Linked DNA regions of Elephas maximus indicus. The protein of the gene in region 1 purifies or fractionates together with the protein of each later gene. This does not show direct contact. Links are inferred from orthologs where the notes say so. Each region holds a gene or a part of one and is shown in the gene's direction. Other genes may lie near its edges.

The links.
Region 2: the proteins of MAP4K1 (region 1) and NUDC purify together in Homo sapiens (affinity purification with mass spectrometry; 3 studies listed by BioGRID and IntAct, with this or other methods). This does not show direct contact. The link is inferred for Elephas maximus indicus from reciprocal best matches to the Homo sapiens genes MAP4K1 and NUDC.

What each region holds. Positions count from the first base shown.
Region 1 is NC_064829.1:112,987,949-113,004,029, forward strand, and holds the start of MAP4K1 (mitogen-activated protein kinase kinase kinase kinase 1), read left to right. Parts: upstream 1-7,711; 5' UTR 7,712-7,832; coding exon 7,833-7,931; intron 7,932-8,094; coding exon 8,095-8,152; intron 8,153-8,276; coding exon 8,277-8,367; intron 8,368-9,217; coding exon 9,218-9,282; intron 9,283-10,854; coding exon 10,855-10,910; intron 10,911-11,002; coding exon 11,003-11,050; intron 11,051-11,228; coding exon 11,229-11,271; intron 11,272-11,366; coding exon 11,367-11,439; intron 11,440-12,317; coding exon 12,318-12,449; intron 12,450-12,912; coding exon 12,913-12,975; intron 12,976-13,114; coding exon 13,115-13,196; intron 13,197-13,903; coding exon 13,904-14,020; intron 14,021-14,263; coding exon 14,264-14,342; intron 14,343-14,811; coding exon 14,812-14,870; intron 14,871-14,948; coding exon 14,949-14,992; intron 14,993-15,073; coding exon 15,074-15,118; intron 15,119-16,081. Other genes in the region: EIF3K (eukaryotic translation initiation factor 3 subunit K), read right to left, coding at 2,505-2,579, 3,774-3,894, 5,113-5,211, 6,427-6,485. UniProt on the Homo sapiens protein: Serine/threonine-protein kinase, which plays a role in the response to environmental stress. Appears to act upstream of the JUN N-terminal pathway.
Region 2 is NC_064821.1:67,357,770-67,373,776, forward strand, and holds the start of NUDC (nuclear migration protein nudC), read left to right. Parts: upstream 1-9,804; 5' UTR 9,805-9,915; coding exon 9,916-9,996; intron 9,997-12,887; coding exon 12,888-12,965; intron 12,966-16,007. UniProt on the Homo sapiens protein: Plays a role in neurogenesis and neuronal migration. Necessary for correct formation of mitotic spindles and chromosome separation during mitosis. Necessary for cytokinesis and cell proliferation.

The sequences.
Region 1 (16,081 bases):
GTAGAGGTGGGTTTGAACCCTGGCAGGCAGGACACAAGAGAGGGGACAGATACAGATTAGCAAGCCGCACTCAACCACCTCCCCTTGCTCCTGTCTGGCTCAGGGTGAAAGTCAAAGCCCTACCGTGGCCTATGAGACCCACATCACCTGCCTCTGTCACCTGTGAGTGCGTCTCCTCCTACCCGCCCTGCTCCAGCTACATGGCCTCCTCAATACTCCTCCAACAGGCCAGGACGCTCCTGCCTCAGGGCCTTTGCATGGGCTGTTCCTGTGTGGAAGTCCCTTCCCCAATGGCCAGCACCTTCACTTCCTTTAGATCTCTGCTCAGACGTCACCTTCCCAGCAAGGGCTCCCTCCCACACCTGTGAGGGGATGAGGTGGAGCCCACCAGGACACTCTGAAGGCTCAGCCAGTGAGGCAGAAGGAGAAAACCAGGAGAGCAGTAGTCCTGCTTGAATCAAGTGTTCAGGAGCAGAGCATGATCACCCGTCTCAGTGGCGGCCAGCGGGGCAGCTAAGGTGAGGCCTGACTGCTAGCCTTGACAAGGGTGGTTTCAGTGGAATGTGTGGGGGTGGGAAATTAAAGTCTGAATAGAGTGGGTTCAAGCGAGCAGGGAGGGAAGCAGAAACAGCACGGACAACGCACTCCAGTAGCAGAGTGACCAAATGTTCCTGTTTGTCCAAAACTGAAGGGTTTCCTGGGATGTGAGACTTTAAGTTTTAAAACCAGGAGAGTCCCAGGCAAACCAGGACAGGTGGTCCCTCTACCCAGGAGTGTGGCCGTAAAGAGATGTAGACAAAAGGGGGAGCTGATGGGGAACGTGGAGGTCAAGGATGCTTTTTACTTTTTAGATAGAACTAACTGCATGTTAGAAACCCTGGTGGCATGGTGGTTAAGTGCTACAGCTGTTAACTAAGAGGCTGGCAGTTCAAATCCGCCAGGCGCTCCTTGGAAACTCTATGGGGCAGTTCTACTCTGCCCTATAGAGTCACTATAAGTTGGAATCGACTCGACAGCAGTGGGTTTGGTTTCTTTTTTTAACTGCATATTAGAGGTGCTTCTATACTGAGAGGAATAGTCCAGAATAAGTGCGATGCTACAGGGGAGTCAGGGAGAGCTCCGAGTGGACCCAGTGTGCTGTGGGTGGCCTTAGACAACCCCTCACCCCTGAGAGAGTAAAGTGTGAGTCAGCTGCAGGTGAGGTGCTGGGATCAGCCATGGGCGGAATGCCAGGACTAGGGGCAGGAGCACACACAAGTTCTGCCTTGACTGCTTCTGTCTTCCCACGAAACAATAAGCCAGACTAAGTTGGCGTGAGTAGAAGGGGAAGAGACAAGAAGGCAGAAAAGATGTCCAGGGCAGCTAGAGGGGGGACAAGCTGGGCCAGGAAGCCAGCCTGCTCAGGGAGCTGAATGCTGTGGGCTCCAGGAAGCGATGTGCTCCTGGTGGCTGTTTCTCTAGCCGCGTTCATCGTTACCAGGTGGGTGCGGACAGGGTGGGGAAGGAAGCAGGACAGGAGAACATGAACAACAGAGGGCTGGAGCTGCTGGTGCTGATCAAGGTAACAATGGTGGGTTAGGGACCTTCTGCAAGTGAGCTGGGAAGGCAGAAGGAAGCAGTCAGAGGATGGAGACGTTCGAAATCTACAGGAGGAGGAGAGGCACCATTACCAATGAGGACAAATCTAGTGAGGGCAGTAGGCCCACACCCTAGCCAGAGATCAGAATTACCGGAGATAATTTTCAAAATCCCAAAGCCTAGATGACACCCAGGCTCTGTGAGGGCAGAACCCAAGTGTCAGTATTTTTTAAAGCTCCTCCGGGGTTTAACGTGCTGCAAAGAACTGGACGAGAACATGACTATGGGGGTGAGTGTGCCAGGTGGAGGGCTAGAGAGCTGAACAAGAGAGCAAGGAACCAAGAGGTCGATGGTAAAGGATCATCATCTGACTGGGCAGAGTGGCCCTGAGTAGGAGCTAGATCCAGGGACTGTGGCTGATACCCACAAAGCCAGTTAGTACGTGATTGTGATCAACGCTGACGGCATGAGCTTCAGGACTGGGGGCTTCGGGCAGGGGAAGGGGGAGATGGCTCTGTGAGTGGCGGGGAGGAACAAAGAGGCGAGGTGGCCAACTGCCCGACTTGGGGGCTGCAGGACAAGGCACAGCCTCAGTGAGGGCCCAGGCTCTGGTCACAGCAAGAAGGAAGAATGTGCAGAGAAAAAGCTAATGGAAGGTTTCTACTTATGACAGATGACAAGTGCCAGAGAGCCCAGATGAAGGATGCAGAGGAGAAGCGAGGGACAGACTCAGCCTTGGCCTCGTGGGCTCTGTGTGAGGAGGATAATGGTCCCACAGGATCACGCACACAATGCACAGAGCACAGGGCCCTTCACCACAGAGGCAGCCAATGGTCTGCTCACCACGGCCCAACCCCACTGACCCTGGACCCACCCAGCCTGTCCTGGGACCCACCCAGCCTGTCCTGGGACCCAAAGAAAGTTACCCAGAAGGCCTGGAAGTGGCAGGTCTCCAGCAGGTCTCCGAGGTATAGAATTTGTCGGATCGGCCGCTCTTCTTGCTGGGAGGAGGAAGCGTTAAGGGAAAACGGCCTTGGAGCCTGAAGAGGCTGGTGTTGGGTCCTAAATCATCCCTCCCCACCTAACTTTTCTTCCAAAGGCCCAGAAGAAGTGGGAAACAAACCCCTCTTATTTCTTCTGTGGACACACGCAGGACAGTGTGTGCCCTATTACCGTAACAGCAAGAGATGAGAAATAACGTATGTGTCCACCGAGGAGAGCGATGCAAATAAACTCAGCATATCCATACTCTGGGATCGAGTCACTCACAGCACCGACGAGGGAGAGCTTGCTGAGACACACAATGACATGAAAAAAGCAAGATGCAGACAAGTGTGCCTAACATCCAACCGTATGGATGGGGAAAAATACGTGCATATAAACACACATCCGTATTTACATAGCCACAGAATACCCGTGGAGCAGTACCCAGGAACTACAAACAACTGCTGCCTCATGGGAATGGAGTGCCGCAGCCATGGGACAGGGGAAGGAAGAAGCCTGGCGTTTTCACTGCCTATTCCCTTGTATTTTTTTGGTATTCTTTCATGCTTTCCAATTTAGGTGCCATATGCCTTTGTTTTTGAAAGCTATCAAAACAGGGTCCTGTCCCTTGCCCGGGCCCCAGTCACAGCCCCCATCCTCTCCTGCTTCTTGCCTGGTGGTGCCTCCTCAGCTGAGAACCCTGAGGGGAATCTGTCTAAAGCATTAATCTACCTGTATTGCTGAGCTTTTTAAAGTGTTTTGTGGCTTCCCAGCACCCTTTTTGAGTCTGACCACATTCCAGTTTAAAACCTATGGCAAGCCTAAGCTGAACTTCCTCTGCCATCTCTAAAAGATGGCACCAAGTTGTTCTTTCCCTCCAGGCCTCCCTACATGCTGTTCCGTCTGCCTGGATCGCCCTTTCCGAGCTCTTCACCTAACTCCTCATCTTTCAAAAGTTCTCTCCTCCAGGAAGCTTCCCCTAACCTCCAGAGCAGGGTGAGGTGCCTTCTCTGGCTCCCCAGCCCTGACCACTCTGAGCTATAACTCACAGGGACCCGTCTGTTTCCTCCAATGGACTGTGAGCTACAGGAGGGCAGGCCCTGGCCTAGAGCAGGCACTCAGTGTTTGTGGATGAAGCCACAGCCACATCCCTGGGAGCTCACCTACACCCACCTCCCCTGCAAACCCTGGCCCCAGAGCTGGAAGGATACGTGTGCCTGGTCGATCATACACTTGCACAGCGTGAAGTCGGTGTGGGGCAGGTTGGTGAGGGCCTTCAGCAGGATCTGCGCAGTGACGGTGGTCTGGAAGAAGGCTGGGTTGAACTGGTACCTGAGAAGGGCAGTAAGAGACACAGCAACAGTGGCACCTCCAGGTCCCCGAGATGCACCAGGTACCCATCAGACTGCCCACTGCTTTGGCCACACAAGGCTGTGGAGCTCGGGAGGTGGACATGCCTGGGCTCCACTTCCAACTGCAACACTTTGTGGCTGCATGACCTTCATCTTCCTCAGCCACACGCTCCTGCTCTATAGAGGAGGACAGTTAATACACACCATCGCCCAACGAGGCAGGTATTGTTATAAGTGATTCACGTATGTAAGAGTATACAACAAGTACCTGGTGCAGTGGTTAAGGATCTAGAGCCAGACTGCCTGGATTTAAACTTCCCGGCTAGGTGACCTCAGATTACGTGTTTTAAATTTTCTGTCCTTCAGTTTCCTCCCTTGCAAATGGGGATAAGAACAACCATACCTCACAGAAACAACAGAGCAATTAAACCAGTTAATACGTACAAAGTATAACACCCAGCTAGCACATGGTGGGGGCTCACTAAGCAGTGATCCTCACCAGTAACAAACCAAACAATCCCACAATTTCAAACATCATCATCCCAGTTTCACAGATGAAAAACCCGAGGCTGCATAATCTGCGAAGATTACCCAGTTGGTCGTGTGTCAAAGAAAATACTTGAGAGAAGTAATCAAATGCCCATCGACAGGAGAAAGGGGAATTAGAATGGAGTCACACACCTTACAGCAACAACAAACTGCTGCTACAAAAAACTGGATGGCACTCACAGATCCACCACTGAGCAGACGCCAGACGCAGGACTCCACGTGTGCAAACTTCAGACGCAAACCTGAGCGGAGCCAGTCAAGACGCAGGCACATGTGGTAAACTATCACATAAAGCCTTGCTGCCAGAGCGAAGAGGAGTTGCCAAAATGGGGGGGGGGGTGAGGTGGTCGGCACAGAGCATGTAGGCAGAGAGCTCCCGGGGCACTAGCGACACCTGACGTTGCTGTATGGATGGCGACTGCGTGAGTGCCTGTTTACAGTTCCTTGTTACCTTGCACATTCATCTTCTGTACTACTATCCTATACACATGTTTCCAATTGGTTTTTTAAAACTCAGCTTCCTTGATTTCCTGGTCTTGCATATCAAGAGAAGCCACATCCTGCAGGCTAACTTCCCAGTCCTCCCCACGTTGAAAGTAGCACCCTGCTGGCTGCTGGCATAGGGATGGGGGCGGGGGCAGATACTCACAGCTTCAGGACAGCGAGGTTGGCTTCCAGGTCATAGGCATTCTCCTTGGCCTGCGTCTCCACATAGCGCTCCAGGGTGGCCAAGTTCTCAGGATTATACCTAGAGGAGGAAGAAAATGGGTAAACAGAAAGGAGACAGGAGCTGAGCCCACTTTACGAGGCCAGGGGGCCACTATGACCTGCTCCTCCCTCCCTTCCTTCCCTCTAAATCTGGCACGGGACACTTGTCCCGCCCCAATCTTGAATCAGCTCCATAATCTCTAATAAAATCTCTCCACATACCAGATCTCTCACCCAAGCTCCAGTCCCACTGGAGCCCTGGGTCTTGTCCTAGATGCCTCCACCACCTTGCAGCCTGTATACCTGGCCCCTTAAACACCTCTGCCACCCAACCCCTTAGCCTCTCTCCAGGCTCCCACCCTGGTTCAGTCCCATCCTTTCCTGTCTGGGTCCCTTCATAGCCTTTCACTGGTCTTCCACCTTTCTCCAGACTCCTCCCGCCACCGCCCCCCATCCACACAATAGAGAAGTCTTTCTAAAGCATAAACGTGACCACGTCCCTCTCCTGCTTAAAATCATTCCATGGCTCCCCAGTGCCCTCCCTCCATGATGTGGCCCCTAAGCTCATTTCCTCTCAAAGCATTTGTCCATAGTGTTTCTTCTGCCCAGAACTCCTTTCTTCCTTTTCTTGCCCAGTTCAAGTCTTCCCATTATCTTTCTTCGCCTGTCTCATTCTCACTTGTCTTTCAGGTCTTAATCTAGACTTCACCACCTTCAAAAAGCCTCCCTTGGCCCAAGCTAGATCAGGTGTCTCCCCTACCTCAGGCTTCCAGAGCCCCCTATATTTCCCCATTCCATTCCGAACCCCCTGCGTGTGCCTCCCCCATCCCAGCCTAACCATTCCCGCGTATCACTCTTATCGCCTCTGGACTGGGAACTCCGTGAAAGCACGGTCTGCAGCTATCTTGGTCAATTCTAAGCCCCAGCATCGCCCAGCACTGACAGAGTCGGTAACAGTGACCAGTGAGTGACATGAGGGGCCAAAAAAGGCGAGGCCGAGGCACTGACACAGTGAGAAACTGAGGAACAGAAACAGAGGGAGAGCAAGTGATAAACAAGGTTCTCTCCTGCCTCTAGACCTCTGCAGTGCTGTCTCCTTAGACATTTCCTCCTCCAGAACGAGACTTCCACATGGAGAATGACAGAGACCCCAGCCCAGGACAGCCACGGGACCCTGACTACCCTTCGATGTCTCCGGAAAGCCCTCTCCTCCACCCCGCTTGGCCAGAAGCGCTCCCCCCAACGGGACTCAGACCTGTCGATACCCTTGAGCAACTTGCCCACGTTCGCTCTCATCTGCTCAAACATTGCCATGGCCACCGGCGCCCCCACACCCGGGCTGGAGTAGCAGACCGCGCCGGCACGGGGCCCTCGAACACCGGAAGCGGAAGGGGTGATGGAAGAAGAAATACGTCATTGTTATCGTCCGGCCCCGGGAGGTGACTCTTGCAGCGGCAGCAGTCACGCTTTCCGGCTACCACGTGACTTCTTCCCAGCAGACGCAAACGGCGCGTGCGCACTCGCTCCATCTGAGCAGGCCCAACGGAGTGAGAAAAAGCTCAGTCTACCGCGATGCGCAGGCGTCTTTTCGGGGCGAGGGGCGGGGTTAAGCTTTTCCCGGGCCTCGCGTTCCTAGTCTCAGGACACCGGCCTGTGTGCCCGCGAACTCTCCGGGCGGGAGTCTGAGCACTAATGGCATACACACTCGTCCTCTTGCACGCGGCTGTGAACTCATACTTGTGCGGGAATGCACGTAGTAGCCCTTCCCTCGGGCCATGGCCAAGTCCCGAGGGGTGTGCTCTCTGAGGTTCTGCCCTCCCCCCTTCCCTCCACCTCCGTCCCAGACGTGGCCGCTAGAGGCAGAATCCTGAGCTCTCCAGTTTCAAGTCCTGGACCGTGGTCCCCATCCTTCATGGCAGCTCCACGGGTAGAAGTTCGCAGGGCTTGAGTAAGGGGCTCCTGGACCCGCTGCATCTTCCCAGTCCCCATTAAGCCCCAGGCTTCGGAGCGAAGGCGAGCAGCCGCAAATGTGCGATCAAGAGCTATGTGTATACAGGCTGCACGCTACAAGCGTGAGCGCACAGACGTGTGTTTCATGTGTTCTGGGTACATGCACGTTTGTGCACACGGGTATACAGACATGTACCACGTCTACAGATTTGCACACCCCACAGGCGGTAACACATAAGTGCATGTATGTATCCCAGGTGAACGGGCAATGTACACTGCGTAGCCATCTCCTGTGCAAACCTGCCACCTCCGTGTAGTGGCCAAACCCTCATGCACACAGCAGAGGTTCAACTATGGTTTTTCACTCCCACCCAGAACTGGAAAGGGGCCTGCTGGGGCACCCCCCCCCGGGTCACAATTAAGATCGTTTGCATCTCATTTACATCCAGTCCTACACCCTAGGGGTGGAGGGGGGTCCCCTGGGTCCTGACAAAAGCTGCCCCTCACAGGCTGTCAGGGCCCAGGGGACAGGGGGTGGAGCTGGCTGCACAGCCCTGTGCTGGGGCAGGAAGCGAGAGTGGGGAGGGGGAAGGCCACAGCCCGCGGAGGCAAGGCGGGTGCAGGGCGTGTAGAGAGGGAAGGAGGTGCCAGCGCTTGAGCCCTGTGGCCCTGCTGGCCCCCTGGGCTCAGGCCCAGCTCCAGCCTCCAGGGATGGACTTCGTGGATCCCGACATCTTTAATAGGGACCCCCGGGACCATTACGACCTGCTGCAGCGGCTGGGGGGCGGCACTTATGGGGAAGTTTTCAAGGTGAGGGGCCCCTTCCCCCACCTCCAGTCTGTCTTCATCACCCTCAAAGCAGAGAAGGCCCGGGAAGGGAAGGGAATGCAAGAGGGCCTGGCCTTGGCTCCGGGATGCTGAGGAGGGACTCAGGCATGTGGCACCCGTCTGACTGCTAACTTCCCCTTACAAGGCTCGAGACAAGGTGACTGGGGACCTGATGGCATTGAAGATGGTGAAGATGGAGCCTGGTGAGGCGAAGATCCAGGAGCTCCCTCCCCATACCCTCACCCCCACCTCCTGGGACACTGGGGCCACCTCCCCCATGACCCCCTCTCTGCAGCCGCTTTTTCTCTCCCCCACCTGTCCTCACAGATGACGACGTCTCCACTCTTCAGAAGGAAATCCTCATCTTGAAAACCTGCCGGCACGCCAACATCGTGGCCTACCATGGGACTTACCTCTGGTAAGGAGACTAAGACCTGCCCCAGGACCCAGCCCAGCCCCCAACCTGTTCCGGGCCCCCAACCTGATCTCTAATCCTGAAGTCTTATTTCTGAACAGGGCATCCCTAACTTGATCCCCAAATCTGGACCCCTGTTTCTGATCAGGATGCCTCCTAACCTGGTCCCTAATTCTGCACTTCCATTTCTGACCTGGGTACCCTAACCTGATCTCTAACCTTGAACCCTCATTTCTCACTGGGGCACCCTCTAATCGGATCCCCAGTCCAGAAATTCCACTTCTGACCACAGGTCCCCAAATTGATCCCTCCATAGTGACTAAATCTGATACCTGAGTCCCCTAAAGCTAATCTCTCATCATCCTGCCCTTTGGGTCCTCCAGTTTCATTCCCTGCTTCTTATGCAGAGAATTGCCCCAGTGATGACCACTATCCCCAGACCTGGCCTCCTGGGCCCCCACCATCCCTTCCCAGCCTCCCCAACCTGTGAGATGCTTGTTTGGCCCAGTCTCCTAGGTTATCACAGGACGCAGAGAGTCTCCTGGGTTTGGAGCACAAAGACTTGGGTTCTAGTCTAGTTGACCCTGAAAGTACATTTCCTCTCTGAACCTCAACTTTGCCATCTGTAAGACGGGAATGGAAAGATCTCACTCTGGTGGGCAAGGCGAGATAGAGAGATGACAGCTGTTACATTAGAGTGCTTGTTGAACCAGAACAAGACAAGAGGTGGACCAGCGGCTCCTTCTTATAAACGATAACATTGCTGCCGCTATTGCTGCCGTCGTTATTATATTGTTACGTTCTTCTATTATTGTGTCGTTACGATATTATTGTCACTTCTGGTTTGTTGTAGGCTGCAGAAGCTCTGGATCTGCATGGAATTCTGTGGGGCTGGCTCTCTCCAGGACATCTACCAAGGTGAGAGGAAGAACAAGGGATCCTCAAATCCACCCCACTTCTCCTGTCTCTCCCTGTCTGTCTTATTTGCATCTCTCTGGGACAGTCTGGTCCCCTGCTTTACACACTGTAGCCCTCCTCTGGCCCTGGCCTGACAATGCTTACTATGCCGCAGTGACCCAGTGAGCCCTGGACCCTGTCCCCAAGGACTTGACAGCCCAGCCTGAGCCTCTCTGCCTTCCATGACCCCCTCACCCTCCACTCTCCATCTTTGTCTCCCTGTCTGCATTTTCGTGCCAGTGTCTCTCAGTGCGGTTGAGTATTTCTGTATTTCTGGTTCATAGTAGGTACTCACGTTTTCACTGAAAATGAATTTCTGGGTCTCTCTCAGCTTGCCTTTCACCCTCTCTGAGAATCTGAGAATTTGAATTTCTGATTCCCTCCAGCTCGAACCTCAAATGTCAGAAAAGGAGGAACGTCATTAGTTCTCAGATGGGGGAAACTGAGGCCCACAGAGAGGAAGTGATTCATAGAGGCAGTCTGTCAGACTTGGTCTGTCTGTCCTGTTTCTTGTCTCTCTCACTTGTTTCCTCTATACCCCTCTGTGTCTTTCTTTTTAAACATGTCTGTCTTCCCACGTTTTAGTCCTTGACCATCTCTTCTTGTCTCAGTCTCAGTTTGGATCTGTCTCTGCATTCCCTCGCTTTGCAAGATCACTTCACTTTCTCGCTCAGAGCCCTCTGCGGCTCCCATTTCCCTCCAAATAGAACCCCAGGTCCTTATCACGGCCCGCAGAGCCTGACCTGCCCCCAAGCTGCCCGACCTCACCTCCTACACTTTCCTTTTCCCCTAGTCAGCTCACCCACCTTCTGTCTTTCAAACTCATCAGGCACACTCCCACCTCCCGGCCTTGGCACTTGCCGTTCCCCCTCGGAGTGGGGCTGCTCCCATCCCTGCCCCGCTGCCTTCTTTTTCCAGAAGCCTTCTCTGACCAGCCTGGGAAGAATTTTTTTAGCCTTCCCCATGTATTACCCATTCTCCTTTCCTGCCTTGTTTTCCTTCTTACCGTGTATTAACATCGCATAGAGTACACCGCTTTTGTATCTTGTTTGCTATCATCTGTACTACTGGTGGAGCCCTGGTGGCTTAGTGGTTAAGTGTTTGGCTGCTAACCAAGCAGTCGATAGTTCGAATCCACCAGCTGCTTTTTGGAAACCCCGTGGGGCAGTTCTCCTCTGCCCTATAGGGTCACTATGAGTCGTTTTGGTTTCCTCCCACTGGAACATTCTTCCCAGGAGAGCAAGGAGCTCAGTTTTATTCACAGCTGTATCCCCAGTGCCATCTGCACCCCTGCCTGTAGACGCTCAATGAAAATCTGCTGGATGAATCTCGGTCTGTGTGTCCCTCCAGCCTGTGTTTCCTTGTATTGCTGCCTCTTTGTTGCTGACCACCCTCTGTTGCCCCTCCCACTTGTCCCAGCCTATCTCCCCCACCCCTGGGGCATGTTCCCAGTCAGTATGGGTGGGGGTCAGGGACACCCAGACCAAGGTTTCTTGGCCGCCCCCCCAATGCTGGGCCATGTCACGTTTGCAGTGACGGGCCCGCTGTCCGAGCTCCAGATCAGCTATGTCTGCCGGGAAGTCCTGCAGGTGAGGAGAGGCCTGGGTGGGCCTGGGTGGGGCAGGGCTTTGCTCACACTCCCGCCCCCACTCACAGCCGCCTTGTCCACCCTCCTCCCCAGGGACTAGCCTATCTACACTCACAGAAGAAGATACACAGGGACATCAAGGTGGTGGTCTGGGGGTGCCGTGCTTTTGGGGGGTGGGGCTCTAAGGGCATAAGGGTGGCACCTGGGGGCTCAGGAAACAGGGTGGTGTTGAGTGTGGGGTGGTGGGCCCAGCCGTGGGCTGTGGGGGGTGTCTCTGACACCCACAGAGCCCGCTCTAACCCCCTTCCCGCCCACCCAGGGAGCCAACATTCTCATCAATGATGCCGGGGAGGTCAGACTTGGTGAGTGCAGCTGGTGGGGGTTGGTAGGGGGACTGGTTGAGGGGCTTGGGTGGATGGGAGACCCCAGGTCACTCTGTCCCTCTCTCTGCCTCCAGCTGACTTTGGTATCTCGGCCCAGATCGGGGCAACACTGGCTCGACGCCTCTCCTTCATTGGGACACCCTACTGGTGAGCGGTCCTTGGCGGGCAGCTAGGGGTGGGGTGGGGGTAGTGGCTTTTCCCACCCTGGTTGTCTAGGAATCACCTTCCTGGCTCCTGCCCCTTATCCCTGCCTCAGTCTTTCTCTGTAGAACATTCCATAGTCCTCTTTGGCTCTCTCTGGAGTTTCACGTTTCTCCACAGGCCTTTCCCTGCCTGTTTCTCTGTGTTTGTGTCAGTTTTTATCTTCCTCTCTCTGCCTGTCCCGCTCTGCCTATTTCTCTCTTTTCCTCCAGGTCAGTCCATGGCTCTCCTGTCCTTTGTTTCTCTCTCACTCTCACACACTGTTTCTCTCTCTATGCTTTTCTGTTCCTCTGTCTTTATCTTTCTGTATCTATTTCTTTTTTTTTTTTTAATTTTTTAAAATTGTGCTTTAGATGAAGGTTTACAAAGCAAATTAGTTTCTCGTTAAGTAATTAATACACATTTTGTTTTGTGACATTGGTTGCCAACCCAGAACATGTCAACACTCTCCCCTTCTCGACCTCAGGTTTCCCATTACCAGCCTTCCTGTCCCCTCCTGCCTTCTCATCCTTGCCCCTGGGCTGGTGTGCTCGTTTAGTCTTGTTTTGTTTTTTGGGCCTGTCTGATCTTTGGCTGAACGATGAACCTCAGGACTGACTTCAGTGCTGAGCTAAAAGGGCGTCTGGGGGCATACTCCTCAGGGTTTCTGTGTCTGTATTTCTTCTCTCTCCGTCTGGCCTTCTATGCCACATCTCCCCTTGCTCCCTTTGCCTGTTCTCCTTCTCCTTGTCTCTCTTCACCCCCAACTCCCCAGGAGTCTCTTCCCCTCTCTCCCCTTGCCCTCCTTGTGCCATCCCTGGCTCTCTGAGGGTCTCTGCCCCCAGGATGGCTCCGGAAGTGGCAGCTGTGGCCCTGAAAGGGGGATACAATGAGCTGTGTGACATCTGGTCCCTGGGCATCACAGCCATCGAACTGGCCGAGCTAGAGCCCCCGCTCTTTGACGTGCACCCTCTCCGGTAGGTGTTAGAAGCCCCCTGGGGCTTCAAGATCCCATCCAGCCCTGACCCTGAATCCTCCTCCCCAACCTGCTTTGCCACATCAAGATCTCCCTACAGGAGACCCCTGTTCCTCGAGCCCAGTCTGAGATCCCCGAGGGTTCCCCCAATGCAAAAAGCCTTATCTTCAGTCCCATACACTACCCAAACCCAGTGCCGTCGAGTCGATTCCGACTCGTTATCCCATAGGGGCCCCCAAAGCCAGGTCCTCATCTTGAGCCTCCTTCTGCAGATGCCATAGATCTATGATGTGATCAATGGCTCCCCCTAGAGGTGGCATCCTTGTGTGTTGTAAAACCTGAACCTCCTTCTCATCCTCTCCCTGACCTCAGTGCTGTCTGGGAGGGTCTGGGGACCTCTCATGCCATGAGGTCTGACCCCCAAGTAGGGATGTGAACCTCATGTTCCCTTCCTACTCCTCTAGAGTTCTGTTCCTCATGACCAAGAGTGGTTACCAGCCCCCACGGCTGAAGGAAAAGGGTAAATGGTGAGAGAAGCTGATAGGAGGGAGAGCAGAGGGAGGGAGGGAGGGCGGCGGAAGGGAGGGAGGGCAGAGGCACGGTTGGTTGGTCTGATGGGAAGGTCTCTGGTCCCCTCACTCCAGAACCTGGTTTCTCTCTCCCAAGGTCGGCTGCCTTCCACAACTTTGTCAAAGTTACCCTCACTAAGAACCCCAAGAAACGACCTGGCGCCACCAAGATGCTCAGTGTAAACCTCCACTCTATGAGAAACCCTCCCCCCCAAGTCTTGTCACCCCTAGAAATCCCCAGGGCTTTCCACAACTTCCTCATGGTCCTTTCAAAGTCTCTGTCGTTGTTGTCACGTGCTGTCAAGTTGGTTCCGACTTATAGCCACCCTATAGACAGAGTGGAGCTGCCCCATAGGGTTTCTGAGGCCATAATCTTTACTGGAGCAGATCGCCAGGGTTTTTGCCCTGTGGAGCAGCTGGTGGATTTGAACCACCAACCTTTGAGTTAGCAGCTAAGCGCTTAGCCATCGTGCCACCAGGGCTCCTTTCAAAGTCTTTAGTTCCCCCAGAATTTCCCAGAATCTGCCAAATCCCTCCAAATTGTACCCCAGACTTCTCCAAGGTCCCCTGAGTTGTTAGAGTGCACACATTTCCAAGGGCCTCAAAACCCAATCCTGAATGCCCTCTTGAATTCCAGGGGACCCTCAGTTCTCTCCAAGATACCTCTGGAATGCTCTAACCCCCGCCTCTTAGGAATCCTAAAGTTTTCTAGTCCCTTAAAATTACTCAGAATTCCCAGGTCTCTGAATTCTCCAGACTTCCCTGCCCTTTCCCTCAATTGGCAGCTCCCCTCCAGATCCCCTTAGATAAGTTCTCAGGATCCTATGCCAGCCCTTTGCCCCACACCAGCCCTCTGTGTGCTGACCCTCTCCTACCCCTCCCCCAGCATCAACTGGTATCCCAGCCTGGGCTAAACAGAGGCTTGATCCTAGACCTTCTTGACAAACTGAAGAATCCGGTGAAGGGGGCCCCAGTTGGTGAGACTGAGGACGAGGAGCCTGAGGTGAGGAGTCCTGGCTGACGAAGGTACTGGAACCTCCTGGCCTTTGCTCAGGCTGTTCCTTCTGCCTGGAGTGCCTTCCTGCTGCCTCCCTCAGGAGGAGAAAAGGGGAGGAGGGATGAGGAGCTTGGCCCAGGGCTGTGTACACAGAGGGTTATGGAGAGAAGAAGGCTCGGGGGTGGGCCCACGGGTTGCTGCAGGGCTCTCTGGGGCCTTGAGCACTGATACAGATGTCCATTGACCCAGCCACCCCCTGCCATCCCTCGGCGGATCAGATCCACCCATCGGTCCAGCTCTCTGGGGATCCCAGATGCAGACTGCAGTCGTGAGTAGAGAATACTTAAGCTTGGAACACCTGATCCTATCATAGATCTAGGAGACCCCATCACACTCTGTCAGGCCCCACAGATGCTCATCACCACCCGATCCACAAAATGACCACAGGGACCTCTCACTTCCCTGATCTGCAGACAGACCCCCCTCACCACCCTGACCCCAAAAAAGACCTGCGAAATCTTTATCTCAACTCCTGATGGCCGGACAGACCCCAGAGACTCACCGAGCACTGCCCCTGACGTCCAAAAACATCTCACAAACCTCTATAACCACTTGGAGCCCCCATCTCCCTGATCCCAAACCCTGACCCCCAAATGAGACCCCGGTGAACCAAGATGCCATCAAGGGTAGTTCCAATCCCTACCACCCTGACTCCAACCCACATTCTATTCTTTCTGTCCCCAAATCCATCTTTACAACCCCCAACCCCACGTTACCTCTCTTTCCCCACCTCCCAGGGCGGCACATAGAGTTCAGGAGGCTCGGAGGAATGGAGACCAGACCGCCAGCCCACACTGTGAGACGCCTCCCCCAGCTCTCCCCAGACGCTCCCTTCTTCCCTTCAGCCACTGCTGAGCCTTCCCCTATCCCGCAGGCACTCTGCCAGCCCCCTGGAGACAGCAGGAGCAGCAGTCCCAGGTCAGGGACCCCCAAGGTGGCAGGGGAGGGGGCTGGGATGTGTGTGGGAGCTGCCTGAGGCTCATGCTTGTCACTCTTCAGGAGGCACCTCTCAGAGTCGGATGATGACTATGACGACGTGGACATGTAAGGAGAGCCCTGGCCCAAAGCCTCACACACTCCCCTCTTCCTGCAGTCCCCCAGCTTGACTCCCTACCTTCCTTCCACCCCTGATCCCTGACCCCAACTGAACCCACAAGGCAGTCACCACCTTGCTTCACCCTCAAGCCAACATCCTACCTGGCCCTCACCTTCCTTCATCCCTAGCCCCTGATCCCCAGCCCCATCCCAACTCAGCTCCTACCCACCTTCACCCCCAACCTCAGCCTCCTTTCCTTTTGCCTTCTTGAATGATCTTTGACCTGACCCCCAACTTCAGCTCCCACCTGCCCTCAACCCCAGACCTGACCCCAGTTCCTTCTGAATGTCCTGAGATCTTTCCCCACCCTCCGACTCAACCCTGGACCCTCAATCACAGACTAGTCTCTAACTCCTTCCAGATGTTTCTCCAACCCCCAGGCCCAGACCAAGACCCCAACTTCAGCCCCAACCCTCAACTCCAGGCCCTCATCTTTTTTCATATCTCACCCAATCTCAGACTGAACCGTAGCCCCTGGAAATTTCCTCAGTGCAAGACCCTCAGGCCCAGATCCAAACCTCAGCCCTAACGGGTCAGCCCATGCCTCCATCTGCACCAGCCCGCAGGCCCTGTGTCAGCTCAGGGCCCACTCATTCATTCCACACCTCTTGTATGTAATGGGCTTATATACGGTGCTGGGCACGAAGCAGGAACCTGATTCACAGGAGCTAGTATTACTAGTATCTGTGTTACTAGGTGGCTGTGAAGATTCGAAGAGCTTAGCACAAGACCTGACATGATGTTCATATTCGATATCCAAGAGCTGCTCTTACTGTTGTCAACATGGCTATTAGTCTTTTAATCCTCAGCTTCAGCCTAGACGGAGTCACCCCTTACCTTTCTGACCTCAGACCCCATTCCCAGATCTCCAGCCTCCAGCCCTGAATCACCCCACCTTCCCCCAGTCCTTG
Region 2 (16,007 bases), on another chromosome or scaffold:
TAGGATATCACTGCTCCCAGGCCCTCCCAGAGCTAAGAAATGAATGTACACTCATGCACACACACACACACATTTACATTTATTTCTGTGTCTATTTATACATACTGAAGAACATGAGTTCAGATCAATGTCTCCAATTCCAATCCAGTACAACAGGACTCATTCTAGTTTTCACCCTTTCTGTATCTGCTAACCGAAAGGTGGGCCGTTCAAATCTACCAGCCACTACTTGGAAACCCTGTGGGGCAGTTCTATTCTATCCTATAGGGTCGCTATGAGTCAGAATCGACTTGATGGCAACAGGTTTGTTTTTGTTTTTTTCTCTGTCACTGGAGCCCTGGTGGCACAGTGGCTAAGAGCTCAGCTCTAACCAAGAGGTTGGCAGTTCAAATCTACCAGTTGCTCCTTGGAAACCCTATGGGGTAGTTCTACTCTGTCCTATAGGGTCACTATGAGTCGTAATCGACTCGGTGGTGATGGGTTTTTCTGTCACTGAGAAATCTGATTCCCATTATCCTTAGTATATTTACGCAATTGATCAGGTCCGTACTTGTAACCAATCTCTGTTTCTGACTCCTACCTCTCTCCTATGAATGCTCTCCTTACCCAACTTGAGCTCTGACAGCTCGTGCCAGGCTGCCGCCTCATCTTCAGGACACCTGCATGCTGCTGAGGCTCTGTCACACAGTGCCATGCCAGGCCACTATACTGTGTAAACACCTTCCTTGCCTGGCTGGGGCTCTGACATCTGTTCTGGGTGCCTCCCTCCCCGCGCTGGTGCAGAATTCTACCTAGTTTTGCTCTACCTAACAATTTTAGGACTGAATTTTTCAGGAAGGGAGAGAAGAGGAAGAGGTAGAGCTGTCAATGGTTTTAAAAATAAATTTCTAAGCCAAACACCTCACGAGGGTTGATTTTCTGGATTTGAAGGCTTAGGACCATACTCTCATGGGACAACTCAGTTAAATGGCATAATATAGTTTATAAAGTATATGTTCTACATCCCAATGGGGTGAGTAGTGTCTGAGGTCTTAAAAATTTGTGAGCGGCCACCTAAGATACAGGTATTGGTCTCATCCGGAACAAAAGAGAAAGAAGAAATCCAAAAACTCAGAGAAGAAAGTAGTCTACAGGACTAATAGTCTACACAAACCACAGACTCATCTACCCTGAGACCAGAACTATGTGGTGCTTGGCCATTGCTACTGACCATTCTGATCAGGGCCACATTAGATGGATTCTGATAGAATGGGAGAAAAATGTAGAACAGAACTCAAATTCTTAAACAGTCCAGACTTACTGAACTAGTTGAGGCTAGAGGACTGCCTGAGACTATCACCCTGAGATACTCCTTTTTTTTTCTTTTTTTGAAACAGATTTATTGAGATATAATTCTATAGCAAACAATTCACTCATTTCAAGTGTACAATTTAGTGGCTTTTAGTATATTCACAGAGTTATGTATCACCAGAATTTTAGAATATTTTCATTATCACATAAAGAAATCCCACACCACTTAGCCATCATCCCTAATTCTCCCATGACCCCCAGCCTTAGGCAACCACGAATTTACTCTTTGAGATTAAAAAAAAAAAAATTTCTATTGTGCTTTAAGTTAAAGTTTACAAATCGTCAATCTCTCATACAAAATCTTATATATACCTTGCTACATACTCCCAGTTGCTCTCCCCCTAATGAGACAGCCTGCTCCCTCCCTCTACTCTCTCTTTTCGTGTCCATTTTGCCAGCTTCTAACTACCTCTACCCTCTCATCTCCCCTCCAAGCAGGAGATGCCAACATAGTCTCAAGTGTCCACCTGATCCAAGAAGCTCACTCCTCTCCTCACCAGCATCCCTCTCCAACCCATGTCTAGTCCAAACCCTATCTGAAGAGTTGGCTTTGGGAATGGTTCTTGTCCTGGGCCAACAGAAGGTCTGGCGGCCATGACCACCAGGATCCTTCTAGTCTCAGTCAAACCATTAAGTCTGGTCTTTTTATGAGAATTTGGGGTCTGCATCCCACTGCTCTCCTGCTCCCTCAGGGGTTCTCTATTGTGCTCCCTGTCAGGGCAGTCATCAGTTGTAGCCAGGTGCCATCTAGTTCTTCTGGTCTCAGGCTGATGTAGTCTCTGGTTTATGTGGCCCTTTCTGTCTCTTGGGCTCATGATTACCTTGCGTCCTTGGTGTTCTTCATTCTCCTCTGATCCAGGTGGGTTGAGACCCACTGCTGCACCTTAGATGGCCGTTTGCTACATTTAAGACCCCAGATGCCACTCTCCAAAGTAGGATGCAGAATGTTTTCTTAATAGATTTTATTATGCCAATCAACTTAGATGTCCCCTGAAACTATGGTCCCCAAACCCCCACCCCTGTTACTCTGGCCTTCGAAGCATTCTGTTTATTTAGGGAACTTCTTTGCTTTTGGTTTAGTCCAGTTGTGCTGGCCTTGCCTGTATTGTGTGCTGTCTTTCCCTTCATCTAAAGTAGCTCTTATCTACTGTCTAATTAGTGAGTACCCCTCTCCCTCCCTCCCTCCCTCCCTCCCTCCCTCCCTCCCTCCCTCCCTCCCTCCCTCCCTCCCCACTCTCATAACTATCAAAGAATATTTTCTTCTCTGTTTAAACTATTTCTTGAGTTCTTATAATAGTGGTCTTATACAATATTTGTCCTTTTGCAACTGACTAATTTCACTCAGCATAATGCCTTCCAGATTCCTCCATGTTATGAAATGTTTCACAGATTCATCACTGTTCTTTACTGACGCGTAGTATTCCATGGTGTGAATATACCATAATTTATTTATCCATTCATCCACTGATGAGCACCTTGGTTGCTTCCATCTTTTTGCTATTGTTACGTGCTGCAACGAACATGGGTATGCATATATCTGTTCGTGTGAAGGCTCTTAATTTCTCTGGGATATATTCCAAGGAGTGGGATTGCTGGATCATATGGTAGTTCTATTTCTAGCTTTTTAAGGAAGCGCCAAATCGATTTCCAAAGTGGTTGTACCATTTTACATTCCCACCAGCAGTGTATAAGTGTTCCAATGTCTCCACAGCCTCTCCAACATTTATTATTTTTTTGTTTTTTGGATTAATTCCAGCCTTGTTGGAGTGAGATGGAATCTTACTGTAGTTTTGATTTGCATTTTCCTAATGGCTCATGATCGTGAGCACTTCCTCATGTATCTGTTAGCTATGAAAGTCTTCTTTAGTGAAGTGTCTGTTCATATCGTTTGTCCATTTTTTAATTGGGTTATTTGTCTTTTTGTAGTTGAGTTTTTGCAGTATCATGTAGATTTTAGAGATCAGGAGCTGATTGGAAATGTCATAGCTAAAAACTTTTTCCCAGTCTGTAGGTAATCTTTTTACTCTTTTGGTGAAGTCTTTGGATGAGCATAGGTGTTTGATTTTTAGGAGCTCCCAGTTATCTACTTTTTCTTCTGCCTGTGACACCCTTTAAACCATAAACCAAAATTATCCCTTGAAGTTACCTTTTGGCTGAATAACAGATTGGCTCATAAAATAGAGAATATCACCTGTGAGTAATGAACTTCTTTTAAAAAATCATCCTTAGGAGACCAAATGGTCAAAAATCACTCTAAAGCAAAGATGAGAAGGGGCAGGGAAACCAGAGCACTGGAAATGGTACAACCAGAATGCAATGAATGAGAATGATGACACATTGTGAAAAATGACTGCAAACCACCTAACTATATCCCACCAAATCCAAACTAAATGTATCCCCAAATTAACTTCTCCTTCACCAGAGTCCAAAATTCCTGTGGCCTCTCCAACATCATCCGATTTGCGAGGAAGTGTGATAGAGGGGGAGGTTAGAGTGGGAAGAAACAGTGGTCTTAACTGATTGCAGTTAAAAAGTCTTATTTTTCCAAATTCAAAAGAAAAAAAATGTATTTGATCCTGTGAAGACATTGCTGGGGCCTCACCCAGTGCCTTGAATAGGGCCATGCAAGTGTGAGGTCCTGTAGTTCAAGCTTCATTGCTTCACAGAAAATCCGCCTCTGGTGGTGCCTATCCTGGGCATTTACAAGGCTCAAAGGAGGTGTCTGTGAGGACATGAAGGACCTGACACACAGCAAGTACTCCACAAATGATGGTGATTATTATTACTGTTGTTGTTGCTGCCGTCCTCATTTTCTAGGAGGCTAGAGGAGAAGGAGACCCAGAGCAGGGATGAGGCCCTTCTGCAGGTGTCATGGCAAAGCTGGGCTGGAAGTTGGGTTCCTGGCTCTAAGTCTTGAGTTCTTTGCACTGCAGTGGATTGTGTTTTCTGAGCCCTTTGTGTGGCCTAAAGGCCAGGGTGACAGTCCTAGAGGTCTTGGAGGGTGAGGAAGGCCTCAGTCATTTGTTCAGAGGGGTGGAGGCATGTGTGGGGCAGAGAGTCCATCAGCTGCTCTCTGACCAGGCCCTACCCTTAGTCTGATGAGGGGAGGGCAGAGTCCTGCCCTCAGAAGCCCTCTGCCTGATATGGAAGACAGTCCTGCCCTGGGGAACCCCAAATCTGATTGAGTGACCGAGGCCAGCCCTCAGAGACCATAGTCTGAAGTAGGAGATGAGCCTTGCTCTTGGGGGCCCTCAGTCTGATGGGGGAGACATAGGCCAACCCTCAAAAGTCCCCATTCTGCAGAGAGAGATACAACTCTGGTCTCAGTACCTCCAACTCTGATAGAGGAACCAGGACCCCCCGTATCACTGGGGGGAGAAAATACAAAATAGATTGGTGGAGCTGAGTAGCTTGAATTGGGAAGGTTTTCTGGAATCCCCGGCAATGCAAACGATTAACACACTCAGCTGCTAACCAGAATTCTGGGGGTTTGAGTTCACCCAGAAGAAAGGCCTGCTGATCTACTTCCTAAAAATCAGCCATTGAAAGCCTTAGGAGTCATAACCATACACCTCACTGGGCTTGAGAGCTAGGAATCATAGTCTTGGGGGACATCTAGGTTAATTGGCATATCAAAATCCATATAGACTGTGTTCTACATCCTACCTTGGTGAGTAGCGACTGAGGTCTTAGAAGCTTTCAAGTAGCCATCTAAGATAAAACAATTGGTCTCTTCCCATCTGGAGCAAAGAAGAGTGAAGAAAACCAAAGACTCAAGGGAGCAATTAGTCCACAGCCAACATTAGCTTGAGACCAGGAGAACTAGATGGTGCCCAGCTACCACTAACAATTGCTCTGACTGGGACCACAATAGTAGGTCACGGACGAAGTGGGAGAGAAATGTAGAACAAAATTCAAACTCATAAATAAGACCAGACTTTCTGGTTTGATAGAGACAGGTGGAACCCCGAGACTATGTCCCTTAGGCATCCTTCAAACTTCGAGTTGAAATCACTCTCGGAGATCACATTATAGCCATACAATAGACAGGTCTATAAAATGAATGCCCTGAGGCATATACACCTCAGAACAATCAACTATCTGTGAGATCTAAAGGGCAGCATTTGCCCAAAAGCAAAGTTCAGAAGGAAGTAGGGGCAGGAAAGCTGGGTGGATGGACACGGAGAAGCCAGGGAGGAAGTGGGGAGAGTACTGACACATTCAGGGGTTTGCAACCGATGCCACAAGACAAGCTGTGTACAAATTGTTGAATGGGAAACTAATTCGCTCTGTAAGCTTTCACCTAAGCAACAATAAAATGTCCAAATACAAAGACAGAAAGAAAACCCTGTGGAGCACAGTTCTACTCTGACACACATGGGGTCACCATGTATTGAAATTGACTCAACAGTTTTTTTTCTTTTTTCCTTTTTCTGAAGGAAAAGTTAATGATAATATTCTCTCGTCTGTACAGTACTTTACATTTCTAAAGCACTTTCACAATTATCTCAGTTAGTCCTCACATAACAATGGGGTTAAGGTGTGACTATTCAAGCAGGAGCAACAATCATCATTCTAATAATTGTAATGACTGCCACTTATTGAGCACCTGTGCCAGGCACGGGGCTGCATATTATCTGTAAAATTAAAGAGAGACCAATGAGATAAGGTGTTTGAAAATGCTTTACAGTCCCATGACCAGGGTGCACATGTTTGCTCTTGGTGTGTACAGAGGCCTCAGACTGGTGGAGGTGCGGCTGGGAGATCTGGAGTGCAGAGGGCCTGGCTTTAGGCTTGGAACTGGGAGATAGCCAGCACTAGGCAACTTCTCATTCCTGGAACGCGTCATGCACCTTCATGCCTCAAAGATCTTGTTCATGCTGTTCCTCCTGCCTGGGATGCCTTTCCCTTGCCCAGTCTGTTTGGTAAGCTCCTGGTCACCCTTCTTGGTCTAACTCAGTGTTACTGTCCACAGCCTTCCCGCCTTTCCCTCTCCACCTCTCCAGCAGCATAAATTGCTCCATCTCTGAGTTCCCAGGTCATCTAATCCACACTCCTAATATAGCATTTAGCTCACAGTGCTTGTTATGCATTGAATTGTGTTCCCAAAAAAATGTGTCAGCTTGCCTAGGCCATGAGTCCCAGTATTGTGTGGTTGTCCACCATTTTGGAATCTGATGTGATTATCCTGTGTGTTGTATAAATCCTAACCTTTACGATGTGAATGAGGAAGCATTAGAGGCAGTTATGTTAATAAGGTAAGACAGAATCTACAGGATTATGCTGTATCTTGAGTCAATCTCTTTTGAGATATAAAACAGAGAAGCTAGCAAAGAGGAGTGAGACTTCATACCATCCAGAAAGAAGTGCCAGGAGCAGCACATGTTCTTTGGACCTGGGGTCCCTGCGCAAAGAAGCTCCTGGACCAGGGGAAGATTGATGACAAGGAACTTCTCCCAGAACTGACAGAGAGAGAAAGCCTTCCTGGGGAGCTGGAGCCCGAATTCAGACTTCTAGCCTCGTAGACTGTGAGAGAATAAATTTGTTTGTTGAAGTCATCCAATTGTGGTATTTCTGTTACAGCAGCACTAGATAATTAAGACAGTGCTGTACTTACACACTTAACTGCTGGTGGTAGTGTTCAAACATTGATATGGTCAGAGGTCATTAGAGGAGGCTGACTGGTCATCTAGACGCCATCTTGGGCAAAGTTTATCATCTAGGTGAATTCTTCTGGGTCTAAGATCAGGGCTGGTTTCTCAGGGAGGAGTCACATAAAACAGTGATGGGAATTGACTTATAAAGTCAGAATGCCAATTTAGGGAGGCAGAACTCTAAGACGAAATGGGTAAGTGTGTCGGCTCTGGGGCCAGGCTGCCTGGGTTTGGATCCTGGCTCTCCCTTCCAGATATGTGACCTTGAGCACGTGACCTCTCTGTCCCTATATCTCACCCTCTAAATGGGAATGATAAGAGCATTTACATCATAGGAGCATTGTAAGCAAAAGTCATGGACATTTAATCTATATATCAGGATTAATAAAGACTTCGCAGAGGAAGTAGCATTTGGACTGAGACCTGATGGATAATAATGAGTTGGCTGGCAAAGGCTTAGGAATCAGGACAGGACATTTTAGGAACTGAAAGAAGCCATTGAAGAGGGAGCCTGGTGAGTAAAGGTGGGCTTGGGACAAAATGAGACTGGCGAGGTAGCCAGGGCCCTGATGGTGTTGCTCCTTAGAGGTCGTGCTTGAGAGTTTGGAATTAATCCTGAATGCTATGGCTATCCACTAAAGGGCTAATTTTAAGCAAGGGAGTAACAAGATACGTTTTACATCTTAGAAGGATTGCTCTGGCTGCTGGGTGGGGGATGGATTATTAAAAGGGACAAGAAAAGTAGTAAGGGGACCAGTTAGGAAGCCACAGGAGTAGCTGTCCAAATAAGAGATGTACTGGCTTAGGCTGATGTGGCAGCAGCAGAGATGGTGAGAAGGCAACAGAATCAGGATGTATTTTGGGGAGAGACAGACAGTACTAATAAATGAGTCTAGAACTTGGCTGGAGTCTCTGAGTGACACAAATGGTTAAGTGCTCAACTACTAACCAAAAGGTTGGTGGTTCGAACCTACCCAGAGGCACCTTGGAAGAAAGGCCTGGCAATCCGCTTCAGAAAAGTCAGTCTTGAAAACCCTAGGGAGCACAATTCTACTCTGGAATACATAGGGTCACCATTTTAGTTTAGCATTGGGCTTGAGAAAATGGGTGGAGGTTTTGCCTTTGGCAAATGAGTGCTTGAATGGGGCACTTAAGTCAATGGGGAAGATTTTGGGAAGAATTAATTTGTTGTGTCTATCCAATGGCATACAACAACATGAACAAGGCCCGCTGCCGTGAAGTCAAATCCAACTCATACCAACCCTATAGCACAGACTACAACTGCCCCATAGGGTTTCCAAGGAGCGGCTGGTGGATTTGAACTGCCGGCCTTTTGCTTAGCAGTCGTAGTTATAAACCACTGCACCACCAAGGCTCCACAACAACAAAGGGGGAGTATTAATGTTGGCCATGTTAGTTCTGAGATACCTACTAACTCCAATGGAGGTGTCCAGGTGGCAGTCCAATAGACGAGCCTGGAGCTCACAAGAGGTTTGGGTCAGAGATGTCAATTTGGGCTTCATTAGCATGTAGTTGGTAATTATAACCATTGCATTCAGTGAGATCACCTAAGGAGAGAGTATAGATAAGAATAGAGGAGAGAGCAGTGGCTAGAACCTCCAATATTTACAAGTCTGCGCAGCACAAGACACTGAGAGAGTGTTAGAGAGGTGGAAAGAAAACCAGGTCCCTGTGGTGACACAGAAGCCTAAAGAAAAAAAGAATTTTCAGAAGAAAGAAGGGGTCAACTGTGTCAAATGCAGCTGAGAGGTCAAGTAAGATAATAGTGGTCCATTGACTTTGACAATGTGTAGGCCATCTGATCTTCATCAAACCTCTTAAGAACAGACTAATTAGAATAAGTTGAAGACCAATGGGAGTTGAGGAAGTAGAGAAACAAGTATAGCAAACTTCTAAAAAAGCTTTGCTGTGAATAAGAGCTAAAAAGTGGGGAGGTAACTGGATCAGAAACTCAGTGCACAGACTATTAAAAAAAAGATACTAAAGCATGTTTGTAAATTGATGGGAATGATCCAAAAGAAATTTGTGATGCAGGAGATTAAAAAAAAAAAAAAAAGGATAATTGCAGGGTTAGGATCCCTGAGAAGACTAAGATGGTGAAATTCATTGCATTAGTAGAGGGACTGGCCTTAGGTGACTGGGACCTGTCCCTCACATTAACAGGAGTCAAAGTAGACTAAAGGGCCGGTTCCATGATCACGGAGTCCGAAATGAAAAGGTAGAACCACTTATTAAAAAATCATTAAGAATTTCAAGACTGTGCCAGCAGAGCATCAAACCAAGTGCGAGGCTTTTCAGACCTGGGACCCTGTGCGGCTTTGGCTGCTCATGAAGCCAGCCTTGGTCAAGTATGTGATGATGACAGAAGTAGGCTGTCGTTTGGGCAAGTTTCTTTTTTCTGGGTCTCAATTGCCTCATGGAAGGGTTGGAAGAGATGATAAGGGCACTTTCATCTCAGCTCCACCGTTCTACAAGTAGGGAACAAGGCAAAGGACCAAAGTTTGTGCCTTTTTCACTTCCAACCCCCCCATATTTGAGCCCAAGGCTTTCTGGAAGGCTCCAAAGCATCTGGTGACCATAGCAACTCACGCCAAGCTCCCCAACTCTGGGCTCCGCCCACCACTTCTTGGATTCGCTTATTGATAGGCTCAGAAAGCCGACCAATGGTCGGCGAAGCGGGCTGCTTCATGCGCAGTCAATGGCCGAGAGAGCGGAGGAAGGCGGGAAGGGAAGGGGAGAAGGCGGGCCGGGGCGTGTGGCAAGTGCGTATTTCCTGCTCCGCTGCGGAAGGCGGAGTGGAGCCGTTGGGCCCGAGGCGACCAGGAGGAGCGTGGATCGGCGGGCGACAGTGCTGAGCGCGGATTTCTTAGCGCGGAAAGGGACAGGCGCGATGGGAGGGGAGCAGGAAGAGGAGCGGTTCGACGGCATGCTGCTGGCCATGGCGCAGCAGCACGAGGGCGGCGTGCAGGAGGTAACCGCCCGCGCGGCGTCGGCCCGGCCTGGTCCGGCGGTGCTGGCCCATTCAGGCGGCCCTAGCCACGCTCTCTCAGCCCTTCTCTGCCCTCGAGGCCCGAGAGCTTCCTCCGGGCCTCACTCGCTTCCGGGACCCCCACCCTCCGACATTCCCACCGCTCTTGAGCTTCCGGTCTGGCCTCCCAGCCAGCGTGTCCCACTCCTCGGGTGTCAATCCCGGCCCCATGGCGCCCTTCAGTAACTTCTAACAAAGTAAACGTGGCATTCCTGACCCGACCCTTTCAGATTCTTCCCCCAGAGCCTTGGTATATGCCCTTGGTCTTACACATGCTTCCAGCCCCGGTACCCCATAGGTGGCTGCTTCCAGAGAGCATCCCTTACGACGAGCCATGCCAGACTCTCATTTGCATCTACCACAACTTGTAGTGAGTCGATGAGTGTGTGCGGGGTGTGTGTGGAGCGATGATGTTAGCACGTGGTTTTTCAGGGTGTGAATGGGGGAGTAGGAGGCTTGTTCTCGCAGTTGATTTCCACTACCTGGGAAGCTTGGGACCGTCCCACCTTTCCAAGCCGCATTTTTCTTATCTCTTAAAATGGAGCTGCAAATCCCTGTTTTCCTGAATCGTTGTAGGAGAGTGGTATCTTGAAGAGCAGTGAGGAGTTATAAATAATCAGGCTTGTTCATTCAGCCAGTGTTTGGTGAATAACGTCTGTCAGACACTCACTGGAGCCCTGGTGGCACAGTGCTTAAAAGCTCAGCTGCTAACCAAAAGGTCAGCAGTTCGTATCTACCAGCTGCTTCTTGGAAACCCTATGGGGGCAGTTCTACTCTGTCCTGTAGGGTCACGATGGGTCTGAATCCACTCTGTGAATGAGTTTTTTTTTTTTTTTTTAAGACACTTTTTTTGGACTCATTGGGCTGGGTCCCGGGGATACGGAGGTGAGCAGAAACTTGTCCTTGCCCTGAAAGAGCTTACAAAGAGCTTTTTTAAAAAGCATAAAGCATGCTGAGCGACCCCGCAATAATAACATGTAGTCTGTGAATGGTAAGGATCAACTAGTGTAGATTCTTGAGTTGGTTTTTTGAAGCAGAAATCTGGAAAGTTAGAGGTAGAACAGTTGTTAAAATCAGTCCAAAGCTTCATTTTATAAATAAAGAAATGGAGACCCAGTGACTCCTGACCTCCGCGAGACCAGACTCCGTAGGCCGTTGTACTTTCCACAGTCCTTTTGCTGATTTTCTTCCTCAGTGGGGACAAGTTTTCATTGACCTATCCATTTCCATTCTTTCACTCAGGTGCCTGTTGTGACCAAGGGCTCCCAAGCCCTTTGAGGTGTGGGGGGTGTTACTAATTTGCAAGTGTGAAAAGGCTCCCCCTCCCCCTGTTCCCCTAAATTGTTGACACAATACCAGGTTTGAGAGAGTTCATTTTTGAGAGAATTGATAACATGTCTACCACCCACCCACTGCCCTCAAGTATGAGTATGAGATAACATGTCTAGAAGTTTCAGTTCCCTATTGAAATTATTGAGGTAAATTCTAGCATCAGATTTAGAACCCTTGGGCGAGTAAAATGGCTTGAATGTGCTAACTCTAGATCACCATTAGATCTGTTCATTCAACAAATATTTTACTGAGCATATACTCTGAGCCTGATATGGTGCCAGACATTGGGGATGTAGACAGGCTAAGTTAGTCGTTCCTGCTGTTAGGGGTTCATCCTTTAGCAGTGGGTCTGTTGTGCTGTGCCATTTACTGCTAAGGGCCTTACCTTCATTACCTCATTTATTCCTCACAAGGTGCCCAGAAATGGGTCCTGCTGCTATTCCTGTTTTACAGAGTTAAGAAACTTCCCCAAGGTCACACAGCTGATAAGTATCAGTCTGAAACTAAAACCCACGTGTCTTAGTCATCTAGTGCTGCTATGACAGAAATATCACACCAGGGTGGCTTTAACAAAGAGAAGTTTATTCTCTCACAGTCCAGTAGGCTAGAAGTCTGAATTCAGGGCACCAGCTCCAGGGGAAGGGTTTCTCTCTCTTTCGGCTCTGGACGAAGGTCCTTGTCATCAGCCTTCCCTTGGCCAGGGGCATCTCAGCACAGGAACCTCAGGTCCAAAGGATGCGCACTGCTCCTGGCACTGCATTCTTGGTGGTATGAGGTCGCCCTGTCTCTCTGCTTGCTTCTCTCTTTTATATCTCAAAAGAGATTGGCTTAAGACACTGTTTAATCTTGTAGACCTTGTCAGTATAACTACCACAAATACATCTTATTACATCATAGTGATAGAATTTACAACGTAGAAATCACATCAGAAGATAAAATGATAGACAATCATACAACCATATAAGGGAATCATGACCTAGCCAAGTCGACAGATATTTTTGGGGGGACATAATTCAATCCATGACACCATGCTCTTAATCACCTGGCTACACTGGTAACCCAACCAGAGTCAGCTGGTCTTGACCTTCTTTTAAGTGGTTTCATTTGCGCCCCCCCGTGCCCCCCCCCCCCCCCCCCCGCCCCAGTTCTGCCCTGGTAGTTTAGCCAGCACTACTGATGGGTTTTTTTTTATTTTTCTGGAGAGGAAGGTTGGGCCCAGACATTTTAAGCTCTGGATACAGAGAACTGAATGTTTCACATCCTCAGGCTACATGTAAACACACACAAGAAGTGAGACCTCCCAGATGGTCCAAAGTTAGAGTAAGCTTCCTGGTGGGAGTGACTAAGGGAACTGGAGGAGGGAGATGTCTCAGTTGAGAGGCTCCAAGGTGAGAGAGTTAAGTCCCAAGCTCCCTCCTAGACTAAGGAAGTTGGCTTCTATTTAGTTGAGAGCCTCCCAATATGGCGTCTCCATAGCTTTAGTTTTCTCTCTTTTCTTTCAGCTTGTGAACACCTTCTTCAGCTTCCTTCGACGCAAAACAGACTTTTTCATTGGAGGAGAAGAGGGTATGGCAGAGAAGGTGAGCATTGGGGGCTGCTGTCCCTTGAGCAGCTCTGTCTCTTCAGAAAAATTCACCTGGCCTTCCTTTGGTATAATAGTAATCTCTAGCGGAAGCAAAATGCCAAGGGCAAGGGGGAGAAGGGATGCAAGTTGTCATTTTTTGAAGCTCCACTGTTAACGATGTACTTTATCCACGTGATTTTCATATGATCCTTAGAAGTTCTGCAAGAGAGGTAGGTGTTACTATCCCATTTTTACAAATGAGGAAAGTGGGTCAGGGATCTTTTGCAACAGAAAAATGGGCAATTCTCAGAAGACTGACAAGTTTCAGACTGACAAAAATCGAAAAGAACATTGCAGTGATGTAGAAGAAAGGACACTTTTTCAGACATTGCTGGTGAAGGTAAATTATTATAGCTTTTAAAAACTTGAGAATATTTCAAACATAAGCAAAGGTAGAGAGAGTAGTCCCAGGAATCCCTGTGTAACCCATCCCTTTGCTACGACAATCGTTAACTCCTGACCACTTTCCTTCAGGTTATTTTGTAGCAAGTTCCAGGCATATTTTTGGATTTGCAAATATTTTGTGAATACCTAAAAAGGATAATTTTTAATCAACATATCTTTAATGCTAATTGATTATAAATTTTCCTTAAAAGAAATTAAAAAAACAAGAATAAACCAGTTGGCTATCAAGTCAGTTTTGACTCATGGTGACTCCACGTGTGCCAGAGTACTGTAGAGCTGTAGTCCATAAGGTTTTCAGAGGTTGATTTTTTGGAAGTAGATTGCTAGGCCTTTTTTTCCATGGCATCTCTGGGTGGACTCGAACCGCCAACCTTTAGGTTAGCAGCCGAGCGTGTTAACCATTTGCACCACTCAGGGACTACATCTAAAAAGAAATAATAATAAAAAAAAGAAATAGCAAATGGTAATTCCTTAAATATCATCCAGTATCCACTTACGATTCATATTTCCCCCAATGCTTTGCTTCTTTATTTCTTTAAAACAGCCTTATTGAGAGAGAATTCACATATCATACAGTTCACCCATTGAAAGTGTACAATTCAGTGGCTTTTGGTATATAGGTTTCCCCTCCTATCCAGAAGTACAGCATTCCTATTACAAACCTTCATAAGCTGAAATGCAGGAAAATGAAGTAATTACTACTACGAAATTTTTGAGTGTTGCCAAATGCAAAAAATAACCTACCAAATCATACCAAATACCACATGAAACCTAAAATAAAACTAACATAGTAAAAACAGAAATGATAAATAAATACACAGCCTATATAAAGTAGATGCTGAATGTAGCTCACGGGGAAGGAGCTTGGTGATGCCACTCTTGGGGTGCAAGCTGCCTCTTTAACACCTCGCTGCAATGCTGAATGCTATTTCCGCTTTTCATCTTTTTTTTCTAGAAGTGAAAATCCTCTTTGGATTTCATTCTTTTAGCAAAAACGGTATTAATGTAGATCTTCCATAAAAGTGAAGTGGTATAAAGCGAACTTTCAAAGAATGGGGGATATCTATATTCACTGATACATGTATCCATCACTGCAGTCAATTTTAGAACGTTTTCATCACTTTAAGAAGAAACCCTGTGTCTTCTAGCTATTATCTATCTACCCCACCCCGTCCAGTCGTCTCCAAAATCTTGTGTGCTGCCGTTGAGTCAATTCCAACTCATAGTGACCCTATAGGACAGAGTAGAACTGCCTGTAGTGTTTCCAAGGCTGTAATCTTTATGGAAGCAGATTGCCGCATCTTTCTCACATGGAGTGGCTGGTGAGTTTGAACCTCTTACCTTTCGGTTAGCAGCCGAGTGCTTAACTACTGTGCCATCAGGGCTCCTTTCCCAACCCTTAAGCAATCCTCACCAATCTACTTTCTGTCTCATAGATTTCTGTATTCTGGACTTTTATATGAATGGAATGATAACACTCTGGTTGGTTGTGACTGGTGTCTTTCACTTAGTATGTTTTCAAGGTTCATTCATGTATCAGTACTTAATGTTTTTATGGCTGAATAATATTCCATTTATGGGTATACCACATTGTGTTTATTCATTTGTTCATTGATGGACATTTGGGTTGTTTGCACTCTTTGGCTCTTATGACTAATGATGCTATAAATATTTGTGACCATCTGTATATATTCTTTGGAGAAATGTCTACTGAAATCCTTTGTCCATTTTTTAATTGGGTTATTTGTCTTTTTATTATTGAGTTGTAAATGTTCTTCGTATATTCTCGACACATGTCCCTTATCAGATGGAGGATTTGCAAATATTTTCTCTCATTCTTTGGATTACTTTTTCACTTCAATGGTATCCTTGGAAGCACAAATGTTTAAAAAAATTTTTTTTTTTTTAATGACTCAGCTCTTCTCTTTTTTATTGTGCTTTAGGTGAAGTTTTACAGCACAAATTAATGTCCACCTCCGGACAGGAGCTGCCAGTTTAGTCTCGTGTATCTACTTGAACTAAGAAGCACAGTCTTCATGAGTATTATTTTACGTTTTACAGTCCAGCCTAATCCTTGTCTGAAGAGTTGGTTTCTGGAATGGTTTTAGTTCTGGGTTAACAGAGAGCCTGGGGGCCATGTCTTCTGAGGTTCCTCTAGTCTCAGTCAAACCATTAAGTCTGGTCTTTCTACATGAATTTGAGTTCTGTGCCCTGCTTTTCTCGTGCTCCACTGGGGACTATCTGTTGTGTCCCCTGTCAGGACAGTCATTGGTGGTGGCTGGGCACCATCTAGTTCTTCTGGTCTCAGGCCGATGGAGTCTCTTGTTTATGTGGCCCTTTATGTCTCTTGGGCTAGTATTTTCTTTGTGTCTTTGGTGTTCTTCAGTCTCTCTTGCTCCAGGTAGGTTGGGGCCAGTTGATGCATCTTAGATGGCCACTTGCAACCTTTTAAGACCCCAGATGCCACCCACCAAAGTGGGGTGCAGAACGTTTCCTTAATGAAGTTTGTTATGCCACTTGACTTAGATGTCCCCTGAAACCATGGTCCCCAGATCCCCACCTCTGCTACTGTCTCCCACGAAGTGTTTGGTTG